4 linked regions of the Notamacropus eugenii genome follow. The protein of the gene in region 3 binds, or shares a complex with, the protein of the main gene of each other region. Links are inferred from orthologs where the notes say so. Each region holds a gene or a part of one and is shown on either strand. Other genes may lie near its edges.

Region 1 (7,389 bases), on a different chromosome or scaffold from region 3:
TGACTATGGATCATCCTCTTCTTGATATTCTCTTCTCTCTAGGTTTTTGGGATATGACTCTCCTGATTCTCCTCCTACCTATCTGACCACTCTTTCTCTGTCTCTTTTGTGGGATCTTCCCAAAGATCATGCCCTCCAACCACAGATATCCTTCAGGGTTCTACCTGGGGCTTTCTTTTCCCTCTATACTACTTCTTCACTTGCTGATCTCATCAGATCTCATCTATTTAATTATCATCCTTAAAGCTAATGATTCTCAAATTTACCCTTCTTTTCCCAGTCTCTCTACTGATCTCCAATCTCACATCTTCAGCTACCTTGTAGACATCTTAAACTCAATATATTCAAAATGGAATTTATTATCTTACTTCCTAAACCCTCCCCTCCTCCTACCTTTCCTAATACTGTAGAGGGCAAAGCCATCCTCCCAGTCCTCAGGCTTACAACCTAGGAGTTATCTTGTACTCACTGTCAACCCCCATTTCCAATCTTTTCTCAGGGGCCTGTTGATTTTACCTCTGCAGCAACATTTCTCAAACATGCCCTTTTCTCTCCTCTGACACTGTCATTACTCTAAAGTGAACCCTGAAAATAGCCTGCAGGTGGGTCTGCCTGCTTCTAGTCTCTCCCACTCAATTCACCCTCCATTCAACCAAAAATGATTTTCCCAAAATGCAAGGTCGACCATGTCTATTCAATAAACTTCACTCTTTCAATTATCTCTATTTCTCCAGTATATAACTTGCTTTGCATAGATTTGCATATGGTCTACCTCATAGATTATAAGCTTTTTGAGGCCTGGAACTTTCTTTTACCCTTTTGGTATCCCTGGTGCTTAGCAAAGTACCTGGCAATTAAGCAGGTGCTTAATAAATGTTTACTGACTGTTTTTCTTGATAAAACTCCTGTGGGTCCCTATCTCTTCCAGAACCAAATACAAAAATCCTCTGTTTGACCCTTCGTATTCTAGAGCCCTCCTTTACTCTTCTTAAGCCTTTACTCTATGAAATGTACTCATCCTCTTCAATCCACTGATACTGGCCTCCTTGCTGTTCCAGGAACAAAATACTGCATCTCCCAGCTCAGGACATTTTCTCTGACTGTCCCCCAGGCCTGGAATGCTCTCCATCCTCAACTCTGCCTAGTAATTTTCCTGGTTTCCTTTAAGTTCTAATTGAAATCCCGTCTTTCATTGAAAGTCTTTCATAACCCCTCTTAGTTCTAGTGCCCCAAATCTCTCTTAATTATATCCTAGTTATCTTGTATATAACTTGTTTGTACATGTTTGTTTGTTGTCTCCCCCATTAGACTGTGAGCTCCTTTATGGCAGGAACTGTGTTCTCCCTCTTTTTGAATCCCCGTTTAGCACAGCACTTGTCACAGGGGTTTAATAAATGTTGTAGTAGGCATTTAATAAATGCTTATTGGCTGGCTGACCACTTACTAGCCAGGTGACCTTAAGCAAGTCCCATCATTCCATCTCCCTTCCCACATCTACAACAGGAAGGGTTTGGACTAGGTGGTACCAAAGGCCCTACCTGGATCTCCAGCATCTAGATAGGAGGTTCCCAAACTTATTTGGCTTAAGGACCCTTTTCAAAAAAACATTACTTGGCACACCCCTGGAAATCTACAAAGAAAGTTTTCTTTAACACTTTAAAGTGTTTTTTAAAATTTGCATCATTTCAAAAAAATTTTTTTTAAATTACACAAGCTAAATCTAATAATTTATTATAAATTTGTGGGGTTTTTGACTGCATTGAAATTTTGAACATAGTATCCTATTGTAAAAAGTCATGGCCTGCAGGGATTCCCGCTGATATTCTGGACTTTCTGACAATGCAGGGCAACCTCACTTGCCAACATCTGCTTGTTTAAGACCTGCCCCTGGACTTAACCACTGATGGGCTATAGCTTGCACTTTGTATGCTTATTTGGAAAATCACTTACTCACAAGGACTTTGACTTCATTACACAACAGATGAGACATGTACAAAGTTTTTCAAAATTTTCTTCTCTTCTTTCCTTGTGCTTCCACAGCCCCTTATTTTTATTAAGCTCTCCCAACTGCACCCAAGGTTTCTACCACCAGTCCTGCCCCGAGCCTGGATCCTTCCAGCTTCGCCCACTTTGGGATCCTTTGAATCCAGATTCCAGAATCCGGATTTTGGATCATAGTGGGTTCATGATAAATACTTGACTGGGCTTCCTTTCATGCAAGGATTCTTTACCTAGGGGATGTAAACAGATTTTGGGGGGGTGGGGGGGAAGAGGTTCCTGTAAATTTGCATGGGAAAAAAATTACATCCTTATTTTCACTAACCAATTATTCAAAATTCTTCTGAGAAAGGTTCCACAGACTTCACCAGACCGGCAAAGGGGTCCAGAACACAAAAGAGGGTTAAGAGTCCCCTGCTTCAAAAGTTCTGAGGTCGAAGGAAGGCTGGGGGGAAAGAGGAGAAAGTAGACAGTTCCCCTCTCTGTGTGTTTTGAAAAACTGAGCACCCAGTTCGCGTCGGGTCCAACTGCAAATCTTCCCCAAGTATGGGGGATGGAATCTGCCATGTCCTTAGCTGTCATCTAGTCCAGCTTCCTCACTTTAAAGACAAGGAAACTAAGGCCCGGGGAAGGTAAGTGACTGATCCAAGGCGGCACGGCTCGTAAACGACAGGGCGGGAATTCGAACTCGGGTCTCCCGACTCCAAGGTGCGGCCGGCGCTCTCCACAGCGCACCCCGCCAACAGGGAAGCGAGGGGGAAGCTCCCCCGCGCCCGCGCGCGCTCTCACCTTTCCGTTGGTGGGCGGCTCCTGGATGTAAATGTTGCTCATCCTGGACGGCTGTCGGGGGAGGGGAGATCCGCTGCCGGGCTCCTTACGAGGCTCAAGGGCTCTCTGTCTGACCGTCCGCGCTGCACGGCGAAGGGAAAGCCCAGCGGGCCAGTCCTGACAGCTCCTAGAGGCGGCCTCAGCTACGGCATCAACTGCCGGTCCTGCCCTTCCGACAGCCTAACAAGGCACTAACTGACCCAGGCGGCCGCCATACTGCACCTGGCCCTGCGCACCGCTCTCTGCGGGGAGGGGTGTCCTCGACCTTCTCCTACAGAAATTCTCCTGGAGAGAGTGAAGAGAGCCCGCTGAGCATCCGCTTGAAGTTAATATTCATTTAATTATCTAGCTTCGCAAGAAACTTTCTTTTGTTTTAAATCAATCTTTAGTTAACGATTGGCAAGTCCTAAACGCCCTCCCCCGGTGTATGTATATGTCAGAAATGGTTTGGACCACCAGTGCTCGGTCTTATGCCTCCGTCCGCGAACTGCGGCTGAAACTGCCGCGTTCTGTAGTCTTCCTCGGGACTCGGGTCCCTAAGAGGAGGCTGTGGCGGGAGAGGGGAAACCCGCGGCGCAGCCGGAGTCACCGGAAGCGGTGTCCGGGGAGCGAAGGCGGCGGCGGCGGCGGCGGCGGCGGCGGTGGCAACGGCAGCTGAGGCCCAGAGGCTGCTTCCGCCCGGGCTATGGCCCTGCCAGGTGACTGCCCCGGGGTCGGCCGGAGCACGGGGAGGCGAGCCGGGAGGGAGGTGGCGGGGGAGCTCGGAGCTCTGCGGCCTGGGCGAGGGAGAGCGTGAGCGGGAGGTCAGGTTTCCGTGGTGGATTGTGTATGTGTGTGTGCGGTGTGATTGTAGACTGTGAGTGTGTATATGGGGGATGTACTTACATGTATGAATGTAGTGGGAACACGTGTGTGGTGTATTGTGCATATGTGATCACGTGTACGTGAGTGTGTATGTGTGGTGTCTGTATGTGTGTGTAGCGTACGAACACATGTGTGATTGTGTCATTGTGTATGTGCGGTGTGTGTACCAGGCGGTGGAGGCAGCTAGGTAGATCCGTGCCTAGAGGTTCATGTGAGGCCTCAGACACTCCTTAGCTGTGCGGCCCTAGACAGATCACCTCCACTGGAGAGGGGAGTGGCCAGCCCCTCGCCTATCTTTGCCAAGAGAACCACCTCACAGGTCATGAAGAGTGGGATACAACACAGCACACATGTCATTGGGTGGCGTATTTGATTACGTTTGCGTGGTATATGTTTATACGTATATGAATGTAGTATGATTGTGTGTGATTGTACATGTGCGAGCATGTATTATGTGGGCGAAATGTGTGCTGTGATATGGCTTGAGAGTGTGGGATATAGACATGTACGTGGCTTGTGTTGCGTACATGTATACACATGCGTGTACACAAACACATTATGTTTGTAGTTGTATGTCATGTCTGGTGTGTGTATGTGTTTACATGTGTATGCTTATATGTGTATATATGGTATATACATATTTTATGTAATATATGTTTATGAATATATGTGTGTCTGATTATGTTATATGTGGCGTGCATGTATGAGTGTAAGCATGCTGTATATGCATGTGGTATGCATATGTTATGTGATGTATTTTGTATGCATGGGTATATGTTTATGTGGTGTACATGCATGTGCGTGCGAATGTATAAAGTATATTTGTGGTATGTATGTGGTGTTACATATATGACAGTATTGTGGACAGTGTATATGTGGTGTGTGTTTATAGGTATATATGTTGTGCGTTCATGTCTGCATGTGGTATGTATATATGTATACATGGTGTGTGTGCACAGATGTTTGTGGGGGAGAGAGTAGGAGAGATGGGGGAAGCGTGATATTTTTAAAAGTTTTTTAATAGTAATAATGCCTTTTTTTTAATTAAGTTAAACTCCAGAGACAGGGTGGTGTAGTGAAAAGTGTCTAGAAACCAAAGCCTAATTTTAATTAATCTAGATGTGACATATTTTCTACATACCACCACCAGAGAGCAAGACACAGTCCCCTTAATTTCTTCGTGCCTCTGTTGACTCCTTTAAAAGAGGTTATACACTAAGTGGTTTTTAAGGACCCTTTCCAGCTCTAAATTCTATGGCCCTAAATCAGGAGTTCTTAACCTTTTTTCCCCTGGGTCATGGACCCCTTTGGCAGTCGGGTAAAACCTATGGATCCCTCACCTAAATAATGTTTTTAAATAATTGAAAGAAATACTCAATTTTAATTAGAGGTTAGTTTTTAAAAAGAAGTCTTTTTCCCCCATCTAAATTCACAGTCTCCTTAAAATCTTTCCACAGACCTCTTGTCTATTTTGTATCCCAAGTTAAGAATCCCTACCCCAAATTGAGGCATGGTTAAAGAATGAAAATTTCTCTGAGCCAGTTTCCTAAGTGAATACTTGTCCTACCTACTTTAAAGTATCATTCCTGGGAATACACTCAAATCAATTCAATAGGCATGTATTAATTGCCCACTTCATGGTACAGTGCTTGGAGATGGAGTCAGGACCCACTTAAATTCTCTGCCTCTTTAATACCTGTATAACCTTGGGTACCTCACTTAACGTATCTGGAACTCAGTTTGCTTACCTGTAAAATAATAGGATTAGACTAGATAGCATCTGAGATAACTTTCATTTTTAAATCTATGATCCTATAAACTGCCTCCCCAAATCTACGTTGTCAAGGGATATGGGGAAGTAGAATTTTGGTAAGTCAGGGATCATTCTACATTCTTGGTACTTAGTATTTCTGGAGAGTATAACACACACACACACACACACACAAATTATAATATAAAATTATACATGATGTGTACATTAGAGATTTATGTAAAATGCTACGTGAGGTCCCAGAGAAAGAGTTGGCATTTTAATTTGAATTGTAAATAATGGATAGGAATTCAGTAGACGAAAGAATGGTAGGGGAATTCCTTTGGGACTAATGAAAAAGATTCCTAAAGGTACATTCCCAGAATAGCCACTTTGGCCTGAACTAGATAGTTGATGTATGACGGTAGTAATGCCAGACTGGAGGGTACCTTACATGCCAGACAAGAGATTGAACTTTGCCTAGGCAGTAAATTAAGGCTATTGTAGATTTTTTAGCAGAAAAGTGATGTGACCTGATTTCCAAATGAGGAATTCAGCAGAGGAGGAAAGCATTCATTGGACGGTAGAAGACTATTACAGTAGTGCACGTGAATAGTGATTATTTTCTACGTGAGGGGGATGGTAGTGCAGAAGAAAAAGGAGGAGGTATCATAAAAATGGGAAAAGGTCCCACATGTACAAAAATATTAATAGCAATTCTTTATGTGGTAGCCAAGAACTGGAAATTGAGGGAATGCCCATCAATTGGGGGATGGCTGAACAAGTTGTGGTATATGAATGTAATGGAATGCTGTTGTGCTATAAGAAATGACAAATAGTCGGACTTCAGAAAAACCTGGAAAGACTTATGTGAACTAATGCTGAGTGAAATGAGCAGGACCAGGAGAACATTATAGACAGTAACAGCTACAGTGTGCAAGGAGACTAAGCCCTTCACAACAATGCAAGGACCTAAAACATTCCCAAAGGACTCTTGAGGCAAAATGCCATCCACATCCAGAGAAAGAACTATGGAATGGGAACACAGAATGAAGCAGACTATTTTCTCTTGTGTTATGTTTTGGTTTGGTTTAGTTTTTCTCATGGTTTCTCCCATTCATTTTAATCCTTCTATGCACCATGACTTATGTAAAAATATTTTTAATAAGAATGTATGTGTAGAACCTATTGCAAGCCATCTCAGGGAAGGAGGGTGAGGAAGGGGGAGAAAATTTAAGAGTTATGGAAGTGATTGTAGAAAACTGAAAACAAATAAATTAATGTAAAAAAAATAAAAAGGAGGAGATGGTTGTGAAAAGATATTGCAGAGATGAAATTAACTGGGCTTGATGGCCAGTGTGCCAAGCTGCAGCATGTACTCTCTGTATGACCATGGGCAAGTCACTAATAGGAGCATAGCTATTCTCATCTTTTCAAATGCTGACAACCGTATTGGTGTGTCTCACTTTAAAGGGTTGTTGTATTTGAAAAGCACTTCTGAAATTTCAAGTATGCACTGTTTGTTTGCTGGGTCACCAAGGGACATGTCATTTAAGCTTGTAAGCTTCATTTTCAGTATCTCTAAAAGGGAGGGGATAACAGTGTCTTTCAGACATAACAAAATACTTTCCTTACAAAGTTAGTTGAACCTTAAATGATGTAAAGTATTTTTTAAAATTATATGAATGTCAGCTATTCATGGTTTTGTTATTTTTATTGGAAGGGCAGCTAGGTGGTGCAGTGGATAGAGCACCAGTGCAGGAGTGAGGAGGACCTGAGTTCATCTCTCACCTCAGACATTTGACATTCACTAACTGTGTGACCTTGGGCAAGTCACTTAACCCCAACTGCCTCATCCTGGGTCATCTCCAGTCATCCTGATGAATATCTATCTGGTCACTGCATTCAGATGGCTCTGGAGGAGAAATGAGGCTGGTGACCTGCACAGC
Region 2 (7,148 bases), on a different chromosome or scaffold from region 3:
AGATCTTTAATCACATTAAAATAATTAACAATATAAATACATATACTGTTCCCAGTTAAATAAACTCTTCTTTCTGTACTTTACTCCTAGTACAGACTCTTAGTTGATAAAGGCAAGATTAAATCAGACCACTTAACTATATCAAAATAAAAGCAGCAAAAAATCCTATTTTGCTTGCCATCACACAGATTTATCAGCCCCACTCTCTCTCGTCCAGAGCCTTCAACGTCCAGTGGTAAGACAAAAGTCAAGACAACTGGTAATGACCCAGGATGCAGTGGATGACCTTGGTGTTTTCAATGTCTAAACAGACTCTTAAGAACTTCATAGCATCTGCTTCAGCCACCTTCATGGCCCTTGGAACATATTGTTCCCATCCTCCCAAAAGTCTTCACATGATGGGGTAGACATCCCCCTAACTCACTGAAAGTTTTGAAGCCTGTTAGTTACCCTCAACCTGGTGTAACTTGTCTGCCAAGGCAGTTTTACCATGCTGTACCCACTGAGCATGCTAAAGTTTCTTCGAGCCACAGGTGAGAGTTGAGCAACAGATGAGCACCAAAATTGGGTGTGTGTGTGTGTGTCTGTGTGTCTGTGTGTCTGTGTGTCTGTGTCTGTGTGTGTGCAAGCAGCCCAAGATGATCACAGTTCTGCCCCTCACTGCCTACTCCATCCTTCTGGGCCTCTACCTATATAATGAGGTGATTGAACTAAATGACCTCCAGGGTCCTTTCTAGTTCTTAACCAGTGATCCTATGTGATTTTGACACAGGAAATATTGGTGGTAAGGGAGATACTTACATGTAGACTATTAGTCTAGACTAGAGTCACTCTTTAAAAGGTTAATGCACCTCCTAGTGTCTCTGAAAAAACTGAAGGTCACCCTTTAGTGATTCCCCATTTTACTTATACTGAATATAACAATGTCTGTTAGTGAATGGGGAGGAGGGAGCTCAGGTGAGATTTCTTTCTACTTTCTGATAATAGCTATTAAGTGTTGTACAGGGTGATATCATTTAAAAATAATAATTTTCTTTAAAAAGTCTAGAATCCTTCTTCAGGAATGACTGAGATGAAAATTAAAAGAATGGGATCAATAAACTGAAGAAGAGCTAAGGAAGAAAAATGCCAGATTAATTTGCATTTTTACAAAGTGCCCAGGCTAGTTACTTCTATTAAGGTTACGTTAAAACTTTGCAACTTTTACTTTTTTATTTTAAAACTCCTTTAGTGTCTTTAATAAGGAAAATGTTTACTTCAAGAGAATGAGGATAAGAAAGAAATTGTAAACCTGCATCCCCTTCCTTAGTAGATCTGATTAGGCAAGAGCCTAATGATGGCCAGAAGATGGCCAGTTAAGTTGGGTTTTACCAGCTAGATGCCCTGCATTACCTTGCCTTTTTCTAAACCTTAAACCTACTGCACCCTGAAGTTCATACATTGGACGACACTAGGCCTCTGCCTAAGGGCTCTCTTCTGGACCCTCACGGCTTAAGAGTAGTCAATAGTAACCGTTGCTGTTTCCCTACCAGCCTGAGGTTGTTTTTTTTTTCTACGCCTCATTAAAGGGGTCATCCCAGGTTACTTTAAGAGGCCGATTCACTGAATGGGTGTTACCTCACCCTAAGTGAGTTCCTGAAAAGACTTTGGCACAGTCAAGTACAAGTTATGTCATCATTTCTCTGATGGCATGATCTTCTTCGGCAACGAAGGATGAACGCAGCAACAACAGATCTAATTGAAAGGAACCTAGAATAAAAAGAGGAGAGGGAGATAGTAATTACCAAGGGAAAGCAGACAGACACAGAGAGAAAGAGACTGAGACAGAAGCTTTTGGGGAACCAACCTATAACCCAAAAGATTTAACAATCACAGCAGAGCCTTGGGGCATAACCACATCTTTATATGTGCTTCAGAAAATTAATAGCAGGTGGAATCTATAAATATTTTATTAATTTAATGGGGATGATAACCAGGGTTGTTATGAAAATCAAATAAGATACTATCTGTAAAGCATTACATTAATGTTAGCTATTATTATTATTCTATTCTATTAACTTCATATCTGAGTATATCCTTTGATCTCCTTCACCCTCACTCAATGATCCAACCTATGTAACAAAGTATCTTAAAGAGAAAAAGGAGCTCAGCAAAACTAACCAACACATTGACCTAGAATGAGAAAATGTACAATCTTCTACAACCATGGTTGCCAACCTCAACAATGAAGGAAAGAAGGTACATTTTTAAAGTTCCTCTCTCGAGTCAAGGTTGGTCATTACACCATTGTTTTTGTTATTGTTGTTCTTTTCATTTATATTGCTATTGTTTTACATATTGTTTTTCATTACTTCTGTTTACTCTGCATTAGTCAAAGTCATCCCAAGCTTCTCTGAATTCTTTATATTCACCATTTCTGGTACAAAGTAATACTCCACTTATACTATGTTACTATATAACAGTTTGTGTAGCCATTCACTAATTGGACAGCTACTTTGTTTCTAGTTCTTTGCTATTACAAAACATGTTCCCACAACTCTTTTTATGTATATAGGATATTTCTTTCTATCCTTTATTTTCTGGTGGATATATGCCTAACAGTGATATATCCTTGTTATATGTATTTAGTCACTTTTTAAACATAATACCAAATTGCTTTCCCAAATGGTTGGACTAATTCATAGTTCTAAAAACAGTATATTGTTATTATCTTTAAATAGTTCTTCAACATTATCTGTGCTTATCTTTTGTCATCCTTGCCAACGTGCTGGGTATGAGGTGAAACCTGTGGACTGTTTGGATTTGAATTTATTACTAGTGATGTGAATTAATACTTCATATGTTTAACAGCTTACAATTCCTCTGAAAATTTTTGTTCATATCCATTGATCATTTATTTATTGGGGAATTAAAGCTAGGTCTTAAATATTTGTGTTTGCTTCCTATATATCTTGAATGCTGCATCTTGATCACAAATATTAGAGGCAAAGATTTTTACCCAGACAAAAGCTTCTTTGTTAACCCTGTTGCATTGATTTGTTAGTTTAAAAGCTTTTCAATATTATATAATCAAAATAATCTCATCTTTTAAGATCATTTCTATCCCTTGGTTCAGAACTCTTCCCCTAGCCACAGATGTTCTCTTCTTCTAGAGTGTGAGTGTGTGTGTGTGTGTGTGTGTGTGTGTGAGAGAGAGAGAGAGAGAGAGAGAGAGAGAGAGAGAGAGAGAGAGAGAGAGAGAGAGAGATTGATTTAATATTTAGGTTGGTATCCATATTGAGCTTATTTTGTAATATTTTGTAAGATGTTGGTCTACATTTCATTTCTGCCAAAGTAATTTCCAGTTCCGAACAGTAACTCGCTTGGGTTTTTATCAATTACCATTCCAAATTAATTAATTTTTGATTCATTCTTATCTAGTTTTTCCACCGATTTTTTTAATTTTAACTACTAACTACTAAATACTAACAACTTCTAACTTTTAACTACTACTTTACCTTCTACCTTTAAGTGTATTTGGATGATAATACTTTATGGTATAGTCTGAGACCTCAAAATGCTGTTTCTCCCTTCATTCACTATTACCCTTGAGCAGCTTTCTTTTTACACAAAAAAACAGGGTTTTCTCTATTTAAATTGTGGCTTTCAAATTTGCAAAGCACTTTACTTACATGATCTCATTTGAGAAAAGCCTAAGATGGTTGTTCCCATTTTTCGGGAAATAAAGGTTAAAATAAGCGGCATGCCCAGGGTGGTCCCGCAAATAAAGTCGGAGGCAGCATCTGAACAAACCTTCCCGACTTCTAGCAAACCTAGTCTAGCCATAACCCAGGCAGCTCAATACCTTTTTGTCGCGTGTTCCTGTAAAGGCAGAATTCTGCAGCTTTATAGGCTTTGTAACTCCTGAAGGCACAGGGAGCAAATACACTATCGGGCATTTCCAGGGTTTTCCTGCAGGAGTATCCCGGACAACTTAATAACCTTCTCAATCACGGTAAGACAGCTTTAAAGCTGAGCACCCGAGCACAGTTCTCACACAATCGTGAGTACCTCTAGAGGTAACAAGGGGAACTCGGATTCCCAGAGAGCATTGCGGCCCCGGCCGTACTACAACGTCCACTATGCACTGCGCGAACCCTCCCCTCTACGTGGGTGTACGCTGGAGCTTGTAGTTTTTTTGAACACTTCCCTAGTGACCATCTTGGCGAAGTAGAAATTTCGGTGGTTTGGGAGTGGTCGGCTTCTCTAGATGGTATCGAGATTTGGGATTATTTTAAAACAAGAAAAAATCCAGCTCTGGAAATACCGACGGCTTCTCCGTATCCAGGTTTTGAAATCAATTATCATTCACTTCCTCTCCACAGCCACCCAGCCGCCCCAAACCTCGAGTTAGGGCGGGGCCAGAGGAACCGGAAGTTGCGTGGTGGAGCATTATGGTGGCGCAGTGGAGCTCCAGGTATTTGCTGAACGCGTTTGCGAGGAATGGCGGAGCGGAGCGGGCGTGGGGCTGGGGAAGAGGGGCGCGGGGCTTCCGCATGTGGCTGCTTTGATGTACAGAGGAGGTCTGGGCAGAGCTGGCGCCCCTCGACGTGGGGCCTGCCCCTGCCTCTTGGCGGGTACGCCCCGGAGTGGAGGGATGGGGTCGCTGCCGGAGCCCTGTCCCCACGCGTGGGGATCGGGGAGGTGGGGGGGGGGGGCTCTGGGCGGTTAGAGGTGACCCCCCCCCCCCCCGACGTTTCTTAGGCGTCTGTGAGTACACAGCGCTGAGCCACAATGCCGGCACCTAGGAAGCGCTGAAGTATTTCTCTCCTAGTCCGTTCCTCTCCTCCTTTTTACCTTTACCTCGTCTTCCCTTTCCTCTTTTCCCCCTTTCCTCCCCTAATCCCCCATGTTCATTTTCCTTCCCCTCCTTCCTCTCCATTCCCCTCTAGCCTTCCCCTCTCTTGACCTGAAAGTTTGGTTAAAAAAGGCAAGCAGCCTGAATACATATGGTTTATTCCCTTAGAACTTGGGGTTCCATGACTGTGGAGCCGGAAAAGTCAGTCCCTAATTCTAATACAAGAATGACCAGGCTTCAGTCTGTTTTAGGACGTCCAGGCGTGTCTGTGTCCCTCAGATCTACGGTCTCTATGTGGGTTTAATCATTCCATGAGAAAGGAATTTTCTTAATTGAATGGATTGTAGATACAATAAGGTAACAGAGTTGACAAAGTTTCAACTGAAATTGACTCGACATCTGAGTTTTCTTCACCATTAACATACCATAACATAGTATATGTCCACAAAACATTAAAAATGTGGAAAAAAGCCCTATTATTCAAGACAGCGTCTTGGGTTAATAGTCTCATAAAGTATACTAAGTTAGCCCCATCTGGTCTTGCTGACATAAGAAGAGGTATTCTCTGAGTTTACTTTAGAGAACAAAGAGACTGTTAGGTCCAGGCTCTTCTGACTGATTAATTCAAGCTCTGGCCCTTATTAAAGTCCAAAAATGATAGTAAATGTTATCACCCTCTCTCCTCCTTTCTCCACTACTTCTCCCCCCTTTCTTTTCTTCTCTCCATTCCATATCTTCTCTCTCCATCCCCTGCTCCCCTTCTCTCCCTCTCTGCCCACCTCTCTCTGCTTTCTTCTTTTCTCATCCTACTCTCTCCTCTCTTCCACCTTTGTCTCTCCTTTTACTGTAGTAAGAGGGAGAAGTGAGGCTGGTGACCTGCACAGCCCTCTCTCACTCAAAACAAAATCAAGTGCAAGTCATGTCATTTCTCCGATGGCATGGTTTTCTTCAGCAAGGAAGGATGAACACAATCCTGTGAGTAGATGCAGCTGGCTGGATGGGGGGACCCAGCTAGCTGAGTAACTCAACTCCTCTCCTGTCTGCCTCCCTTCCCCTTTCTTCTCCTCTCCAAAGGAAGATAAATTTGGATGGCCAAAAGATGCCCAATTGACTTGGGTTTTATTGGCCCCTGTTCCAGCCTGTCCTGTCTTCTCCTGTCCTGTGACATTAAAACTACTGCACACTGAAGCTGGGATGCCTATGGACCCCTGCCCAAGGGCTCCTCTGGATCCTTCTAGCTTTGGAGTGATTATCAATAATAACTGTTGCTGTTTCCCACCCAACCTGCTGTCTTTGTTTTCTTGATCTCATTAAAGGGACCATGCTCTGGCTACTTCTTAAACGGGCCTATTCAATGAATGGGCATTGCCTCACCCTAAGTGAGTACCTGAATAGACCTTGGCCTAAAGGGGCCAAGGTCTCCCATTGCATTCTGGGTCATCTCCAGTCATCCTGGTGAATATCCGGTCACTGGATTCAGATGGCTCTGGAGGAGAAGTGAGGCTGGTGACCTGCACAGCCCTCCCTCCCTCAAAGTCAAGTGCAAGCCATGTCATCATTTGTCTGATGGCATGGTCTTTTTCGGCAACAAAGAACGAACACAATCCTATGAGTGTCAAAATATGTGTTCATTCAGTTTAGGTCTTAACAAGTTCTTGATAACATTACCTCTTCAACCTTAGCCACAAATGTTTCTGTGTAAGCTTTGATTATCAAGTTGCTCTGTTTTAAAAATTAATTTTTAAAAAATAATTATTGATGCCTTTTGTGTTTTATAACAGTCTCATTTCTGGAGAGAACAAACACTGCCTGCCCTACCTCTATTGAAGCTTCCCTTTTAACAAAGAAAAGCAACTAATATGGTTACCATAATCTAACAGCTTCTTTATCTATTCTCCAATACTGTCATTGGTTTTTCAGTTACTTAAAGTTTGGTTTCATTTTAAAGATCTTCATTTTGTATTCTTTTGGTTCTCCCTATTTCATTGAATTAGTTCGTACAAATCTACCATGTTTCTGTGAATTCTTCCTTTTTGTCATTTCTATAAAGGATGACAGCACTGAGGGCCATTTTATATTTTTCTTTGTTTAGTGGCTGTGTTCCAAGTCATCACCAAGTGACAAGCTTCTCTGTATTTAGTTAGGCTGATCTTCAAAAAGTAAACACAGTGTGTGGCATGGACCAAACTAAGGATTGGAAAATCCTGCTCAAACCTAATCTTAAACTAGTATTTCTGTGACTACTTTAAAATATTCTTGTGCAGGAAGGTGCAGGTGTAGTCTTGCTGAGTTGGTTGCTTGTGACAGGATA
Region 3 (7,645 bases):
TCTCCACTCAATTTCGGTCCTGGAAGAGGTACGTAGCCTGCATCCTTGATCCTGGCCATTTCCCTGCCTTCGATCTCTAGCAGTGCTGGTCTTAGGGGCTGCTTCCCAGACCTTAGCTTTGCCCTCTGGTAGAGAGACCCTATGGTCTTTGAGGGCAGCTAGGCCCTTCAGAGAGTCTGTTGACCCAGCATTGGGGACAGCTGCCCTTCATCGCCCTTGAGTGGTTGGCAGAGTCCCTGTCTTTATCAGTATTTCCCTCTGCCTGGTGTGGGCAGAGAGCCTGGAACTAGAGGCTGGGCACAGAACTGAGTCTACGGAGGGCCCTGAAATGGGTGGACCCAGGCCATGCCCACAGAGGTACCCAATCAGGAGTGGAATTCCATGACAGCTCTTGTTAGGACCACAGAGGAATTATCAGAGAAGAGAAAATGATGTGAAGTTCTTGAGTTTCTGTCACATCTTAAGCTCTGGCAGCTGTCCCCACCCCACCCTCATCCCCATTGTACTGCCAGGCCTCAGTTTCTCCAGCTCTAGGCTGTATATTTTGCTCCTACTATCTGGATTCCCAGGGAGGCTCAGGTTACCCGGAGCTGGGACATATCTTCAAGAAAGGAACCGGTTATGCCTGAGCTCAACTTGATAACAAGGGGAGGGGCCCAGGATCAACTCCCTGCCTGTCTCCCTTAGGTCTGGCTTCTCCCCTTCCCTGCCCCCCACCCAGCTTTTGAAATCTCAGTCCTGAGAAATGCCCCGAGAGGGAAAAGCATTACCTATGGGATGAAAGCATAGGATTCAGAGATGGAAGACATCTCAGAGATCATCCAGCCGAAACCTCTCATTTTACAGATGAGGAAGCTGAGGACAAGGTGACAGAGAAAATGAGAGGCAGAGCACATATTCCAAACCCAGTCCTGGGACTACAAGTTCACACTCTTCCCATTACATTGGCATTCAGAGCCAGTGGGGAAGAAGGTAAATGCAATTCTCACAAGTCATTCTTGGAGGGGGACAGAGGTAGGTATGTGCTGGGTCATTGTAGGAAACACCTAATGGCACTCACAATCTGCCTCCCAGATGGCTCCCATGGATGTTTGGCATAGCAGGGAAAACCTTGGGTCTGGGTTCTGATCTTGTCCGTGTCATGTTTGGACTTACTGCTGGTAGAAACTTGACTGGTGACCCCACCTTTCTGACCTCAGTTTCCCCATCTGTAAAAGTGAGGGGTTTGGGCTAGACTATGCCTGAAGTCTCTACCAGCTCTCACTGCTATCATCCAGATAAGGCGGTGGCTGCTGTGTGGAGGACTTGCAGGAACGGGGAGGCTGGGCCTAGGGAGAAGAGAAGGGCCATTGTTCAGAGGGCCATCTCAGGCAAGGCCTGGGTGGGGCTGGAAAGGGTGGGCACCAGAGCTGGGCTCTGAGGGGGGACAGGACAGCACAGGTCGAGCCAGGGCAGACCAGAATAGAGCTGGTCTCAGTGTCCATGCTTCACAGCTCTCCCTGGAGGGTCTGGCTTTGGCCCTATCTCCTTTCAGCTCCTGAATGTGCCTGGCCCAGGAAGAGTGGGGCAGGCTCAGACAGCTCCCCACAGACAATTGAGAGCAGTGTTGTCCTGAATCAACTCTTCCTGCCCTCCCCTCTGGTGCCCGCCTTGGGAATTTCTCCACTTCCTTCTCTCTAGGGACCTAGGAGTCTGGCCCTCCTATCACGAGGAGTCTGGCAGGCTCACAGCCAGGGACACTGCGCTACCAGTGGGACTTGGAGGAAGTCACTGCTTTTCTCTGGCCTCAGTTTGCTTCTCTGTTTGGTAAGAACAGCAGGTCATCTATGGAAGCTCATATGCTACAGCAGTCTGTAGATGGCATAAGGATGCCTGAGCCCCAAGGTCCCACAGCTTGTGTTGGAAGGCAGCTCCCTCCTTTCTCCTTCCCTCTTTCCATCTTTCCTTCCTCCCTCCTTTTCCCTTCTCCCTTCTTCCCTTCCTGGAAGGAGCAAGCAAAGTAGGATTTTTTTGCTGTTTTTTTGGATTGAGTTGTAGCCAATCAAATGCTTTTGATTGAATCCGGAGTCTTTGGAAACAGCATATAACTAATTCACTCACTTAGTATTGAATTGCTTGGAGGGAGAAGAGAGAGGAGAGAGAGGAACAGACCCGAGAGAGAGAAGCAAGTGGGAGCAGACCAGGGGAACAGAAAGAGTGTTTGCGATGTCCTCACTCCCTCTCTTGATCCGTGTTAATTTCTCAGACAGAAGCCCTGTCCTGTTGGTCTTTATGAGTGAATTGAGCTGAAGAGCTGAGATCTGCCCATGGAAGGAGGCTTAGCTTAAGCCCCTTTTAAGAGCTGTTAAGGTGAATTGAGATGATGGGGTTGGTAATGTGTATAAATATACATTGTCATAGCCTTGTTAAACATTGTTTTCCTAGAAACAGAAGCTGCAGGAAGGAGCCCCTGGAGCCAGCTGTCAGGCAGAAGCAGGAAGAGTTAGGAGTGGAACAGTTCCCATGAGCTGAGGCAAGGAGCAGGAGCAGAGAGCTTCCTATGTGTGAACCCAGGCAAGAGCTGGGAGTGGTCCGTGCCCACAGAGGAGGAGCCACAGGGTTTGGAGGTCAGCCTTCAGTCAAGATGAGAGAGGACTTTACTTGAACACTGTGTATTGATTAAGGACACTGTGACCTGGGGGTGGATGCCTTGGTATTTTCTGTTATCCCTTAAGGGTGAGTCATACTAGGGAAGACCCTAGCCTGGGACCCCCGACTTTGGGGATGCAGCGATATGCTCTGTGTCATGACATACCGACTGTTAGGAGATACATACATACATATATATATAGTAGACGATATGTTTTGTTTAACGACCTTTCTATGCTTTACTCTATTGTGTTAACCTGAAAACTTGGTTAAAGAAAAACATCAGACTAAAGGCATGCGTTATTAATTAATTAATTAATTCCCTCTTAAAGATAACAGTCATAGCACTATGGAGTCAGAGGTGACTCTGACTATCTAGTACAGAAATCATCTGTCTTAAGTACATTTTGCCATGAGAAAGAAACTCTCCTAATTAAGCAAATCATAAATTCAGTAAGACAGGACAATTAACAAAGCAATGTTAGTCAGGCCTTGAGATTCCAAGCTGGGTAAGCATATGTCTCGGTGATAAGGAAAGAAACCCCACCACTAGTAAGTGGGAGGCTTCCTCCCTTAAACAGATAATTGACATAGGAAAGGGTAAACAATGTTCAATAGAAATTACGACCTAAGATGTCTATTTTTTCTTTATCATTAATATGCCATAACATAGTATATGTCTATAGATCAAAGGAAAGTCCCATTATTCATAACATAGTATGTATGTGTCTATAGATCATAAGATTCAAGGAAAGTCCCATTATTCAAGATATAGTGTCTTAGGTTAAAGGTCTCCTTAAGGAATGTAGAGTCGCCTTGGCTGGCTTTTGCTGACATAGGAAAAGGCACTCTCTGAGTTTACTTCAGAGAGAACAAAGAGATTACTCCAAAATTTTATATTAAACATTATCAATTGAACAGTTTACTTCATCGCTGAGTAAATAGTTCACTAAACTATGATTTCACAGCTTAAGTCCTGAGGCGCTGTTGTGACTGATGTTACATCCCCTCCCTCTTTCCATAACCTGGGCTCGGTTCAATGGAATCACCTTCGAGGGGCCTTTGGATCAAGTTCAGTTTGCCCAGAGAGAGGGGAAGGGCTCCCCCCTCTTCCTTCTCTTGGACCCCGCCTCGGGGCAGCGGCCGAAGGCGGTCTCCAGCGGGGCTGGGGTGCCGGAGCCACGATTGCTGGGGGGAGCCCGGGAAGCCGGGGTGCCTCCGGTCCCTCCCCCCCATTTGTGGGCATTGTACTTGTTGAAGTAGATCTGTATGTAAACGCTCGTCTGCGGGGCTGACGGAAGGGGGTGCGGGCCCCCCGACAACCACGCAGTCAGCGCTTGCTGCCTCGGCGAGCACGATCCGGGAAGATGCTGAGCGCTGCTGGACAGAGCGCCTCGTGGCGCCTCCGCGCAACTACCACCTCCTGCCGGGAGGGGCCGCTGTGGATCAGAGTTACCGACCAGGCCCCCCTCCCCCGCCCAGGCAAACCCGGGGGAAGTGACTTGCCCAGGGTCACAGGGCAGGTCTGAGGATGATTCGAATCTGCCTCCAGGCCTCCCGACCATGGGCCTCAATGTCCTCATCTGTCCAGCTCTAGGGTCCCATGACGCTGTCTGGCGTGATACTCCACACCCCTGGTCCCTCACTTCTCCCCAGAAAGGAGAAGCAACAGCCCAGTTCTGACAATGGCTCTTGGAAACGGTGGGGAACTACATTTCCCATGGGGCAGCGGGACCGCTTCTTGGCAACGGCTTGACGTAGGGGCCCGTCTTCTCTTCCCCTGGTTTCGATCCACAACTCCCAGAAGGCTTAGCCACGAACCAGACCCCTTTCCGCATGCGCCTCGCGGATTTCCCCGACTACGCTTCCCGGCGTGCTCCACGAAGCCGCCCTCCCTCTCTGCATTTCTATTGGCTGTTCCCATCCCGTAGGCTCGGCTCCTATTGGTCGCCTCCGGAAGTTCCGGCAGGCCGTAGCTCTTCAGTCCCCTGGGCCGCGCGCCTTCTCGCCGCTAAGATGGCGGCGGAACATCCCGAAGCGCCTAAAGGTGAGCTTCAGCTGCCGCCGCCTCCGCCGCCGCCCCCCCCGCCGCCCCCGCCGCCGGCCCCCTACGGCGCCTGGGCCGCGCCCGAGCTGCAGGCCAAGCTGGCGGAAATTGGAGCCCCCATCCAAGGTGAGCCTTCCGGCGCCGAGGCCCGTGAGCCTCGCGAGGAGGCCTGGGGCCCGCGGGGGAGCTGAGGAGACCTCGGGGCTGGGGGGCGTGGTGGGGAAATCGAGGCGGGGGAGCCCCCATCTCTGGATCGGGGCCCAGGGGAGGTGGGGGGGGAGCTTCGGGGAGAGTTCAGTTAAACGCTTCTGGCGGGCCTCGGCCCAAGCCCGGAGCCCCCTAGTGTCCCGGGTCCGAGGGGGCAGGGGGATGGGCCGTGTGGTGCGTTCGGGGGACCGTCCCCCGAAGAGGCTCATGGGATCGGTGGGCGGAGAGGAGGGGGTCCATGGCCAGGCCCTCTTGCGAGCCCCGGGGTGGGGGGCCGATCCCGGGGAGCCGGGGGTGGAGGGAGAGTCGGCAGGATTGGGGGTATCCCTCCCCCAGGGCTGCGCTCTGGGGTCTGAATGCTCCCGGCCCTGTTTGTGCGGGGAGCGGGACCGGATAAGAAATGGGTGCCGAGTCCTGCGGGAACACCACCGGCCGGGCCTCCTGTACTCCCCACTTGTCCTGGTTCCCGGGGCGAGCGAGAGCGTTATAAGGAGCCCTGGCAGACATCCACAAAGCCGGACACCCGGGCAGAGGGTTCAGAAGAGAGGCAGATTTGGGAAGGAAACCCCTGGATTCAGATCCAACCCGACGGACGCTCACTGGCTGTGTGACCCTGGCCAAGTCACTTAACCTCTGCCTGCCTCAATTTCCTTACCTGCAAAATAGGGATCCTAACAGCACCTACTTGGCAGGGCTGTTGTGAGGACCGGAGCGCCCACTCAGTGCCGGGCACACAGTAGGTTCCCCATATAAGAAAAGCAGGCTCTCAGCACTTAACAAGGATTACTGATAGGAATGTATCCACCTGGAAACCTGCAGATCTAATTCAAAGAACTCCTAAGTCGAAAAGGATGGGGAAGGCCGAACCTGTCCATAGAGAGCCGTGGCCACACCTGGACTTGGCCAGTGATCCAGTCTGTGCCCTCAGATCTCTCTACAGAAACGTCTAATGTTGGCATAGCAAGTAAGATGAGCTGGGTGCTGCAGTGGAGAGACTTACCCGACCTGGAGTCAGGCCTCAGACACCTACAGCTGTGAGCCTGGGCGGTCATTTATCCTTTGTTGGTCTCTGTTTCCTCTTCTGTGAGATGAGAATCCTAATTCCATCTGCCTGCCAGGGTTGTGAGAGGTTTGCAGAACCTTTAAGCATTGTCTGCTTGTGGCTGTTGTTGGCATTGTGGCAGGTTTGACCTCAGCCTTGGTAGGATGGGACCTCATGACTGGCAGTATGGTTCAGAAGAGGCAGGCTAGGCCCAAAGCTAGCAGTGGTGGAGTGGCCTGATTGAGAAGGTAGACTCATGACTGGAAACCGAGAAACCGAGGGATGGGGAAGCCCAGAGTCAGGCAGGATATTGTCCGCAGAGTAGACAGCGCACGGGAGATCCATTTATTTGCATGTATTCTGGAGCATTGTTTTTTTTCTAGGAGCCAAACAGCTATTTGTTGCTTTGTGATAATACTACTCATCTAAAATAGACCAGTTTGTTTCTGGGTCAGATTTTTAGTAACGAGGAGGTTCACCCAATTTTGGGGGGTGGAAGTGATATGCTTGAGAGGAGGTGTCCAGTCCATCTTGGAACATGTATTTGAGATGGCAGGGACAGCCAAGGATGGTCTGCTGGGCACTCTGGGTCTGAGGAGGGCAGATTCTGGCATTGGGCATGCGTGGGAGATGCCACATCTGACAAATGGACTTCTGAGCCCCCAGAGAAGTCTTTTCTATGAGGAGCTGAAAGGGAAGTTGTGGGGTCAGTGGGGCCCTCTTAGAGGGACATCCACTGCCTGATTTAAGACAGTGGAAGCCCCCAGGGGACTGAGAAGAGCCACAGCACAGCAGGCGCCCGAGCTCAAAGCTGTGAGGCTGGTGAAACTCTTAAGTAAAAGTGATGGTGTTGGGGCAGACAGAGCAGTGATGACAGAGGAAGGAGACAGGGTGGATTTTGCTGCATTTGAAAAAAGATGGCCATTTTCCATATTGTAGGAAAAGCAGAAATCTGTTTTCTTAACTATGATACGATCAGAGGGCTTTGGGGCTGTCTGGCCAATCAGAAGCATCATGAAAGGTTCAGTCTCTTGGCACTGGAGCGCCAGGACAGTGATTCGGAGAGCCTAGCGGCTTGCACTTCTAATCACTGCCCAGGATCAAGGCAGAGATGGTGGGTGGTGCCAGTTTACAGGTGAGATTGCTGTAAAGAAGAGCCAGACTATCGAATGATCGTGGCAGGCCAGAGCGTTGGGCCGAATATGACGAGATGAAATTTAGTGGCGATAAATGTAAAATCGTAGCCCTGGATTCAGAAGAGCAGGTGCACCAAAACTGGATGAGGAATACATAAAAAAGGGCCTTGGGGCTTTGATGGGTTAGCTGGACGGTGTGGCAGCCCCAAGAGCCAGTGTGACTGCTGGGTCTTAATGAGAGGGGCAGCCTGCTTGCTGGGCTTTGTCTAGGTCAGGCTAAAGGAGAGGGTGCAAAGGAGGGCAGCCGGGAAGGGGAAGGCCTTCGAGTTCATGCACGTGAAGTCTGTTTGAAGAAGGTGGCCAAGGGGGTCATTGGGAGGAAGGACTGTTAGACTTCTTGACTGACCCCAGAGAGCAGAACCTGGAAGGTTCAAGAAACAAGTTTGGACTTGATGTGGGAGGTGTTGATTTGATTAATTGTTAGTTGATGAATTCTTCCTCATCTAAGGTAGATAAGAACTTACTTGTTGGGGATGTTCACATGGTCCTCTAGGGCTTCACATGTGGCTCTTTGAATCCAGACTT
Region 4 (7,723 bases), on a different chromosome or scaffold from region 3:
AAGGACATTATCCTCATCACCACGGAAGTTCCATAGGGGATGAGGGCAGGAAAGAGCCCAGACTGGCTCATTAGGGCTCTCTTAAAACCAGAGTCTTCAGGGAAGTGCCCCAAGGAGGCCTTAGTATATTAAACATTTGTAGTGGCCATGCCCTGGGGTGATACCACGTTGAGGTAAAACAAGAGTCTGTGCAAAGCAGCCAGGTGAGGGATGGCAGAAGAAGCTGCCAAGGAAGCCAGAGTGAAGTGGGGAGGCCATTTCAGTCAGCAAAGATGAGGGAGAATGGGCCCCAGAACAGTGGAAGATGCCTCTGTAAGGCTTTGTTCTCTTTCATCCCTCACCCCAAGAGACACAGTGTTTTTTTTTGTTTTGAGGTGTAGTGCTGGCCTCACAAGATGTGTTCCCAAGCATTCTTACCCCCAGGGACTCAATTACAACATTCAATGAACATCTGGTGCCCGCTGAGCAGGGCTGTGGAGGATGCCATGCTAAATAAGCAGGCCCTGGCAGACATAGAGTTCGGCTTAGACAGCTCCTCCTCTTGGCAGGCAAGACACAAAGGACCACCAGAATATAAAGACAACATTAGGAGGCAGAATTCAGATGCCTGCAATGACTAAACTTGTCTTCAGAGGACTGATGGGGAAACAGAACCCCCCACTGCTGGCTGAAAGGCAGGCAGGGGTGGGGGTGGGTGAGGGATATTAGAGGTGGGGAATCCATTAGCACATGTCAGGCTTTACCAACAGGCTGGGTCGGGTTTTTTTGACTTACTGCAACCATGAAATTAAAAGATGCTTGTTCACTGGAAGGAAAGATATGACAAACCTGGACAGCAGAGTAAAAGCACAGATATGACGTTGGCATAGTCAGAGCTATGGCTTTTCCAGTAGTAGCATATGGCTGTGAGAGGAACTACAAGAGTACTACAGAACTGACACTTTGAATCGTGGAGCTGGAGAAGAGTTCTGAGAGTCCCTTGGACATCAAGGAGGCCAAATCAGTCCCTTAAAGAAATTAATTCAGGCTACGCACGGGAAGGTCAAATACTGAGGCTGAAGCTTAAATAGTCTGGCCACATGATGAAAAGCCAGGACTCGTGGGAAAAGACTCTGATGTTGGGAAAGACTGAAGCAAAAGGAAAAGGGAGTGGCAGAAGATGAAAGGGATAGTGTCACGGAAGCAACACACATGACCTTAGTCTTTGAGAGAGAGTAGGAAAGAAGAGCCCGGTGTGTTATAATCATGGGGTCACAGAGAGCAGGACAGGACGGGTCAACAATGTAAATTCAACTCAACAGACATTTTCTGGGGATTTGGTGCTGAGCACTGGGGCCATGAAGAGAAAAATCAAAGTTTCTGCCCTAAAAGAGCTTTCACAGGGGAGTGGAACAATTCATGCAGTGATAACCAGATGTGAAAATACACACAAAGATCTAGCTGGATGGGAACATTGTTTTCCCTGACAGAATTCCGTTCCTTGAGGACAGGGGCTGTTTTGTTCCCGTGTTCGGGTGGCTATGGAGTACTCAGCATGAGCACACACCCTTTCTCTCTCTCTCTCCCCCTCCCCGGAAGGCATTCTGGGAAGAGGTGGCAGGCCATCTCCCCCTCGGAACCTTCAAGGGAGGCTAGGAAACAGCAGAGCCCCTTCACAGAGGCACCGGTCCGGGAGGCAGCACGTGCTATCCCAGCGTGTTACAGGAGGGCGCTGGGCTCGTGCACCGATCAGACAGCTCGCTCCAGGCACTGGAGCACTTGGACGCTCCAACGCACTCCAAGCGTGAGGGGCCCCGAGCCAGCGCTCCTGGCACTGCCTGGCTAACTCTGCACACATCCCTTACTGCGTCCGTCCGTCCGTCCTTCCTTCCTGCAGAAGGCCGTGACGCCCGGGGGACGACATGACTGGCGCTTGCCGGTGACTCGAGGGCGGCACCAGCCTCACCCTCTCCTCCTGGGACTCATCAGGAGCGGTGCGATGGCCCAGCACGCCTCTCGGGACCACGGAACCACGGCACAACTTCTGGCGTAACCTTCCTTGTTCTGGACCTTCAACTGCTTACTGATAACGAACTCACAATTTAAAAACTTCAGGAAGGCGGGCTGGCGGAAGGCGCTTTATCCTGGACGCCCCCGGGCAGGTGCCGGATGGATCACTGAGCACCTCCTGCGTGCTAGGCTCTGGGCACAAAGGGGGGCGGCGTCTGCCCCCCAACAGCTCACAGTCTCGAGAAGAAACTCTGGGCCCACTCCCGAGCACGAATCCACGAGCCGTCCCGACTTCTCGGCCCACGCGTGCGGTGAGGTCACAAGTGGGAAAGGGCTACGTGATCATCATTAATCATGATTAATTGGTTAGGATTAATGAGGCTCCATCGCGGGGTTCGTGTCTGCCTTTCCCTTTCCCGGCCCCTCCCCCGTCTCTCCACGTGTCTGCCTTTGGGGGAGGGGCCCGCGGGCAGGGGGGGGGGCAGTGACACTCGTCCTTCACCCTGCCTGCCTCCGTTTCCCCATCTGTAAATGGAGATCCCTCCGGGATCTGCGGCAAGACAACCCCAGGAGGGGTCACCGAGAGTCTGGGATGGGCCCAGCGCTCAGGGGGCTCCTCACCACGAGCCCGCCCCGGGGACGAGCAGGCTCCCGCCGCTCTGCACACGCGGCCGCCGGCGGGGGCGCTCAGGCCACGCTGGGGCTCCATGGCAGCAGGACCACGGGCCTAGAGCGCCCTCGTCCGGCTCCCAGGTGGCCGCGCGGCGCGGCCAGCGCGAAGCCTCCTGGGAGCTGTAGTCCGTCTCCCTCTCTGCCATGGAGGCCCCAAAGCCTCCAGTTCCTCTCCCCTTCCCTCCCATCAGCGGACAAGGCCCAGAGGGGCCCGCCAACCGCCTACCTGCTTGGGCTCCGTGGCAACGGGCGGCGGCGGCGGCACCGCCTGCACCGGTCCGGCCGGCATGTCTGCGGCGCTGGGGGCGGCGGCTCCAACGGCGGTCCGGGCGCGAGCGGCCGCTACGACAGGGCCGAGCCGGGCGCTCACAAGATGGCGGCGGACCGCCTTGATGGAGGCGGGGAGACGCGCTTCCGGTCCCGCCCCTCGCCTTCCGGGGGCGCTTCTCCCTTCCCCCCGCGCACGCCGGACGTGGAGACGCCGTTGCCATGGAGACGGCCAGGCGGGAGACCTCAGTTACTCGGCTGGGAGCGGCTGCGGACCTGAGAAGTCGAGGCCGGGGCTCCGGGGGCGGGAGCTGCGGGAATAGTTCCAAGAGCTGCAGCGGCGCTGCTGGGGGCAGGTGAGCTCGGACTGACGTCTCGGGGTCCCATCCTGCCCCGGGGTGCCCAGCCCGCCTGGGCCCGGCCTTTTCACTGCCCCCACTCTGGCCCCGCCCCTCATCTCCCCCCCATCCCTGGGATCGCCCCTCCCACCTCCCCTGGGGAGCCCATCCTCCTACCTCAGGGAGCACCTGCCTTCCTGGAGGAACCCCGCCATTATTGTCCGCATCCCTGGGCCCCTCCCACCTCGGGGAGCACCCCTCCTGTCGCAGGAGCCCCGCCCTGCTCCCTCCCCCCCTTCCACAGCCCTATTCCCAGGTAAGGCTCCTTACCTTCCAGGGGCTCATGTCAAGCTCCGCCCCCCCGTCCCCTCGCCCCCCCCGGGTGTCGGGCCCCAGGCTAGGGACTGGGGTCGTGGGTACGAAGGGAAGACCAAGAGCACCGGAGAGCAGCTCGGCCTGGTCAGGGACTGGCCGGACCTCCTAGCCCTCCGTCACCTTTCCGAGGCTCAGGGCTGGGCTTCAGATCGGGAGCGGTGGGGCCGGGCACATGGGGGGGAGCCTGAGACACCCCCCCCGCCAGGGCGCCCTAGAACGAGCCGAGCACAGGTGTCTGCCCACGTGCCCAGAAAGCATCCCCTCCCTCCCCTCCGGGGTCCCACCCAAGAGCTCAGCTGGAGGGACATGAAGACGTGTGGGTTCCGAATTAAAACCTGGGAAACCGAGGCCCAGGGCGCCGGGAGGCAGGAGGTGGCGCTTGTCCTGCCTCCGCCCAGGGCATCTTCTGGCCTGCAGGATGGCCCATCTGCTGGGGAACCAAAGCTGCATGGACAGCTTGAGGAAGGACATCACAGACCTGCAAGGAGCCATCGTGGACGTGTTCTCTCGAGCCGGGGCCGTGCGCTTCCCCTCCTGGAAATTCCCCGACAAAGTGTCGTGCGACCTGGACTTGGTGTCCCTCTTGGAGCACTATGACCACGAGGAAGGGAACCCGGAGTTCACCCAGCTTTCCCATGTGGTGCTCCTGGAGCTGGTGATTGACAGGTGAGGGGCAAGCCAGGGTGCCCCGGGGTTGGAGCGGGTGCCCGGAGGGCAGGGGCTGCGGGCAGGGAAGCAGGTATCCGCTTGACTTTCCAAGGCTGGGAGCTGTCCAGAGCTAGAGTGCTAGGGGAGCCCCCACCTTCAGAGCCACAACAGCATTTATATAGAGATCTGCAGTTCAGGACTGATGACATCCTGAGGGTGATGTCTTAACTCTGAGAACTGGATTTCAGTGAGGCAGAGCCAGCTAAGTGTTCAGCCTTACTCCCTTCTGAGTCATGGAAAGTCCAGCGGCACAACATAGGCCCAGACGCTCAGGATGGCCTGAGGTGCAGGGGGTAACCTTGGCCTTTCTAAATGAAGGTCTTTCTCAGGCCTCAGTTTGTCTGAGGCACACCCAATCTGATGAAGGGCTGGATAAGAACTGTGACAAAAGATGGCTGAATTTACCATCACAGAAACATCAGTCTGGAAGGGGAAGACCCTCAGAGTTTCTAGCCAGAACAGAAAATAATTGCCATGCACACTCATTCTAGAACTCAAGAACTGGCTGGCTGGGGGCTCTTATTGGCCATTCAGTGAAACCTGAGTGACAAGTCAGATAGCTCCATTTGAAACACAGGCTTTTTTTTTTCTTTTTTAAATTTTATTTTATTATTATTTTTTAATGTTTTACAATCACTGCCATAAAATTAAGATTTTATCCCCCCAACACCTACCTCCCACTACCTCCCTCCTTCCCCACGACAGCATACAATTCTGTATAGGTTCTACATATACTTTCCTATTGAGTACATTTTCACTATAGTCATGCTATGTAGTCGAACTAAAATAAATGGAAGAAATCATATAACAAATCAAAACATGATACACAAAAACACACACACACACAAACATGATCTGCTACATTCTGCGAATGACTTCCATATTTCTTTCTCTGAGTGTGGAAGGCATTTTGCCTTAGAAAACCACCATTGGGATTTTTTTTTTTAATAAGTTCTTGCATTATTACGAAATTCCAAGTCTACCAGAAAAAACTCTCGCACACTGTGGTCGTTGCTGTGCACAAAGTTCTTCTGGTTCTGCTCCTTTCACTCAGCATCAGATCATATAAGTCTTTCCAGGCCTTTTTGAAATCTTTTTGTTCATCATTTCTTATGGCACAATAGTACTCCATTACATTGAAACACAGGCTTTTTAAAAGCCTGTTTTTCCAGGAATGTTATCTCATTTGATCCTTACAATTATAGTTCCATCTTACAGATGAGGAAACTGAGGCTGAGGGAGGTTAAGTCCACGGTCAGTAAGTGTCCCAGGCATGATTCAGACTCTGGTCTTCAGACTCCAAATCTAGCACCATGCACAGTCCTACCATGCTGCCTCGTGGGAGCTGGAAGACCTTCAGAATGTTATGGAAGGTGGGGTGTGTGCTCTTCTAGGCTGAGTAGATGCCTCTGGAGCCTCTGGCAGCTCTGCTCCTCCAAAGAGGAAATGGGCCCCAAAGGTGCTGGGATGGCCTGGGTGCAAGGTAGGGCATGAGCCTCCCGGCTGCAGTCCTGACTTTGCTGCTTATCAGTAGTGGGACCTGGGTAAGTCACTGCCCCTTTGGGGGCCTCAGCTGCTTAACTCAGTCAGGACACACAAAAAGCCCACAAGTTTAAAAAGCAAGAAAACTCAGAGTCCAAGCTCTGGACAGTCTGGCGGCCACTCAGAGAGCCAGTGAGCTTTGAATTTGGCAAAAGAAAACCTACCAGGGGCATCTAGGTGGCACAGTGGATACAGCACCAGCCCTGGACTCAGTAGGACCTTGAGTTCAAATCCAGCCTCAGACACTTGACACTTACTAGCTGTGTGACCTTGGGCAAGTCATTTAACCCCAACTGACTTGCCTTCCCTGCTCCGAAAGAAAAAGAAAACCTGCCAAAGGGCCAAGTGACATGTCCTCTTTTATGTCAGGGTACTTAAGAGTACTGTCCAATGTGCTGGCCAACATGCCTATAGAGCTTTGTGAGCTCCCCAGGGTGCCTTGGTTTCCAAGACCACTGACAAACTGGGTGACCAGGAGCATCCTCCCCAGGTGGAGGCTTTCGAGCCCTCTCTGGCCTGTCTGGCTCTGGGCCCTCAGTCTGAGTCTCTTTGTCCCCCAGGCTTCTTTTGCTTCTCCAGAGTTTTACCAGCTACACGGACAACATCACCAGCAATGAGCTGATCCCCGTCTCCCGTGAGGTGGGGCCCTGCATGTCCATTGGGCTCACTGTGCGCAAGTACTGGACCAGCACACTGAAACTGGGAGAGCTCTACCGGCAATCGCTGACTAAGGTAGGGATGGCTCTCCCAGAGTAGCCCTTGGGCATGTGACCTCCAGACAACAGGAGTGGCTGACAGCTTCCCCCTCTGCCAGGGCAGGGGGTCTTCTCTCGTTTCTTGCTTTGGAGCCAAGTTTGTTTCTTGTATTTTGCAAAATTCACTTCTGATTTTTTTGGTGTTTGGTTGTCATTTTCATTTGCATTACAGTAAATGTGTATACTGTTTTCTTGGCTCAGCTGACCTCACTCTGCATTAATTCATGTGGATCATTCCATGTCTCTTCATATGCTCACATACGTTATTTCTTGTAGCACAGTAATATTCCATTATGTCTCATAGACTCCCCCATTTATTTATATTGGTTATCGCTCTTCTTCTGTGCTTTATCCTTCTCTGGTTTAGGTATTAAGGCTAAATTTGTCCAGCTAGGTGGTGCAGTGGATAGAGCACCAGTGCAGGAGTCAGGAGGACCTGAGTTCAAATCTCACCTCAGACACTTGACACTCACTAGCTGTGTGACCTTGGGCAAGTCACTTAACCCCAATTGCCTCATTCTGGGGCATCTCCAGTCATCCTGATGAATATCTGGTCACTGGATTCAGATGACTCTGGAGGAGAAGTGAGGCTGGTGATCTGCACAGCCCTCCCTCACTCAAAAAAACAAAGTCAAGTGCAAGTCACGTCATCATTTCTCTGATGGCACAGTCTTCTTCGGCAGTGAAGGATAAATGCACACAATCAGGACCAAGAGTATTTTTTCTTTGGTAGTTCCTTTACAGGTATATCTGTTTTGAGCTATTTAAGATCTCAATTTTATCTTTTCTCCGATGTTTATTTTACATTTTTGAAGTTTTTCCCCATGGCTATTGTATTTCCACTTTTGTTAGCGTATGATTGTGTATAACAGGTTCTGATCACTCTTTTTATTTCTTCTGGTTTCGCTGTGATTTCACAGTGCTAGTTTACAATTTTCTGGATTTGATTTTCTACCCCCTTTTTAGTCAGATTGACTAAAGGCTTATCAGTTTTACGAGTATTTTCAAAGAACTAACTTTTCATTTTTATTTATCGTTTTTATAGTTATTTTGGTTTATCTATTTGTCCTCTTATTT

The links.
Region 1: SF3B2 (region 3) and CWC27 share a complex: the UniProt entries of both Homo sapiens proteins name them as parts of the minor spliceosome. The link is inferred for Notamacropus eugenii from reciprocal best matches to the Homo sapiens genes SF3B2 and CWC27.
Region 2: SF3B2 (region 3) and CWC22 share a complex: the UniProt entries of both Homo sapiens proteins name them as parts of the minor spliceosome. The link is inferred for Notamacropus eugenii from reciprocal best matches to the Homo sapiens genes SF3B2 and CWC22.
Region 4: SF3B2 (region 3) and SF3A1 share a complex: the UniProt entries of both Homo sapiens proteins name them as parts of the 17S U2 SnRNP complex. The link is inferred for Notamacropus eugenii from reciprocal best matches to the Homo sapiens genes SF3B2 and SF3A1.

Annotation. Positions count from the first base shown.
Region 1 is NC_092875.1:319,598,765-319,606,153, reverse strand, and holds the start of CWC27 (spliceosome-associated protein CWC27 homolog), read right to left. Parts: upstream 3,018-7,389; 5' UTR 2,830-3,017; coding exon 2,788-2,829; exon of another isoform or gene 2,324-2,787; intron 1-2,323. Other genes in the region: protein SREK1IP1, read left to right, coding at 3,512-3,524. UniProt on the Homo sapiens protein: As part of the spliceosome, plays a role in pre-mRNA splicing. Probable inactive PPIase with no peptidyl-prolyl cis-trans isomerase activity. As a component of the minor spliceosome, involved in the splicing of U12-type introns in pre-mRNAs.
Region 2 is NC_092876.1:243,434,611-243,441,758, reverse strand, and holds the start of CWC22 (pre-mRNA-splicing factor CWC22 homolog), read left to right. Parts: upstream 1-4,139; 5' UTR 4,140-4,327; exon of another isoform or gene 4,328-4,616; intron 4,617-7,148. UniProt on the Homo sapiens protein: Required for pre-mRNA splicing as component of the spliceosome. As a component of the minor spliceosome, involved in the splicing of U12-type introns in pre-mRNAs. Promotes exon-junction complex (EJC) assembly.
Region 3 is NC_092873.1:18,740,128-18,747,772, forward strand, and holds the start of SF3B2 (splicing factor 3B subunit 2), read left to right. Parts: upstream 1-4,629; 5' UTR 4,630-4,644; coding exon 4,645-4,801; intron 4,802-7,645. UniProt on the Homo sapiens protein: Component of the 17S U2 SnRNP complex of the spliceosome, a large ribonucleoprotein complex that removes introns from transcribed pre-mRNAs.
Region 4 is NC_092875.1:15,043,442-15,051,164, reverse strand, and holds the start of SF3A1 (splicing factor 3A subunit 1), read right to left. Parts: upstream 3,021-7,723; 5' UTR 2,951-3,020; coding exon 2,888-2,950; intron 1-2,887. Other genes in the region: CCDC157 (coiled-coil domain-containing protein 157), read left to right, coding at 3,151-3,284, 4,059-4,307, 6,452-6,623. UniProt on the Homo sapiens protein: Component of the 17S U2 SnRNP complex of the spliceosome, a large ribonucleoprotein complex that removes introns from transcribed pre-mRNAs.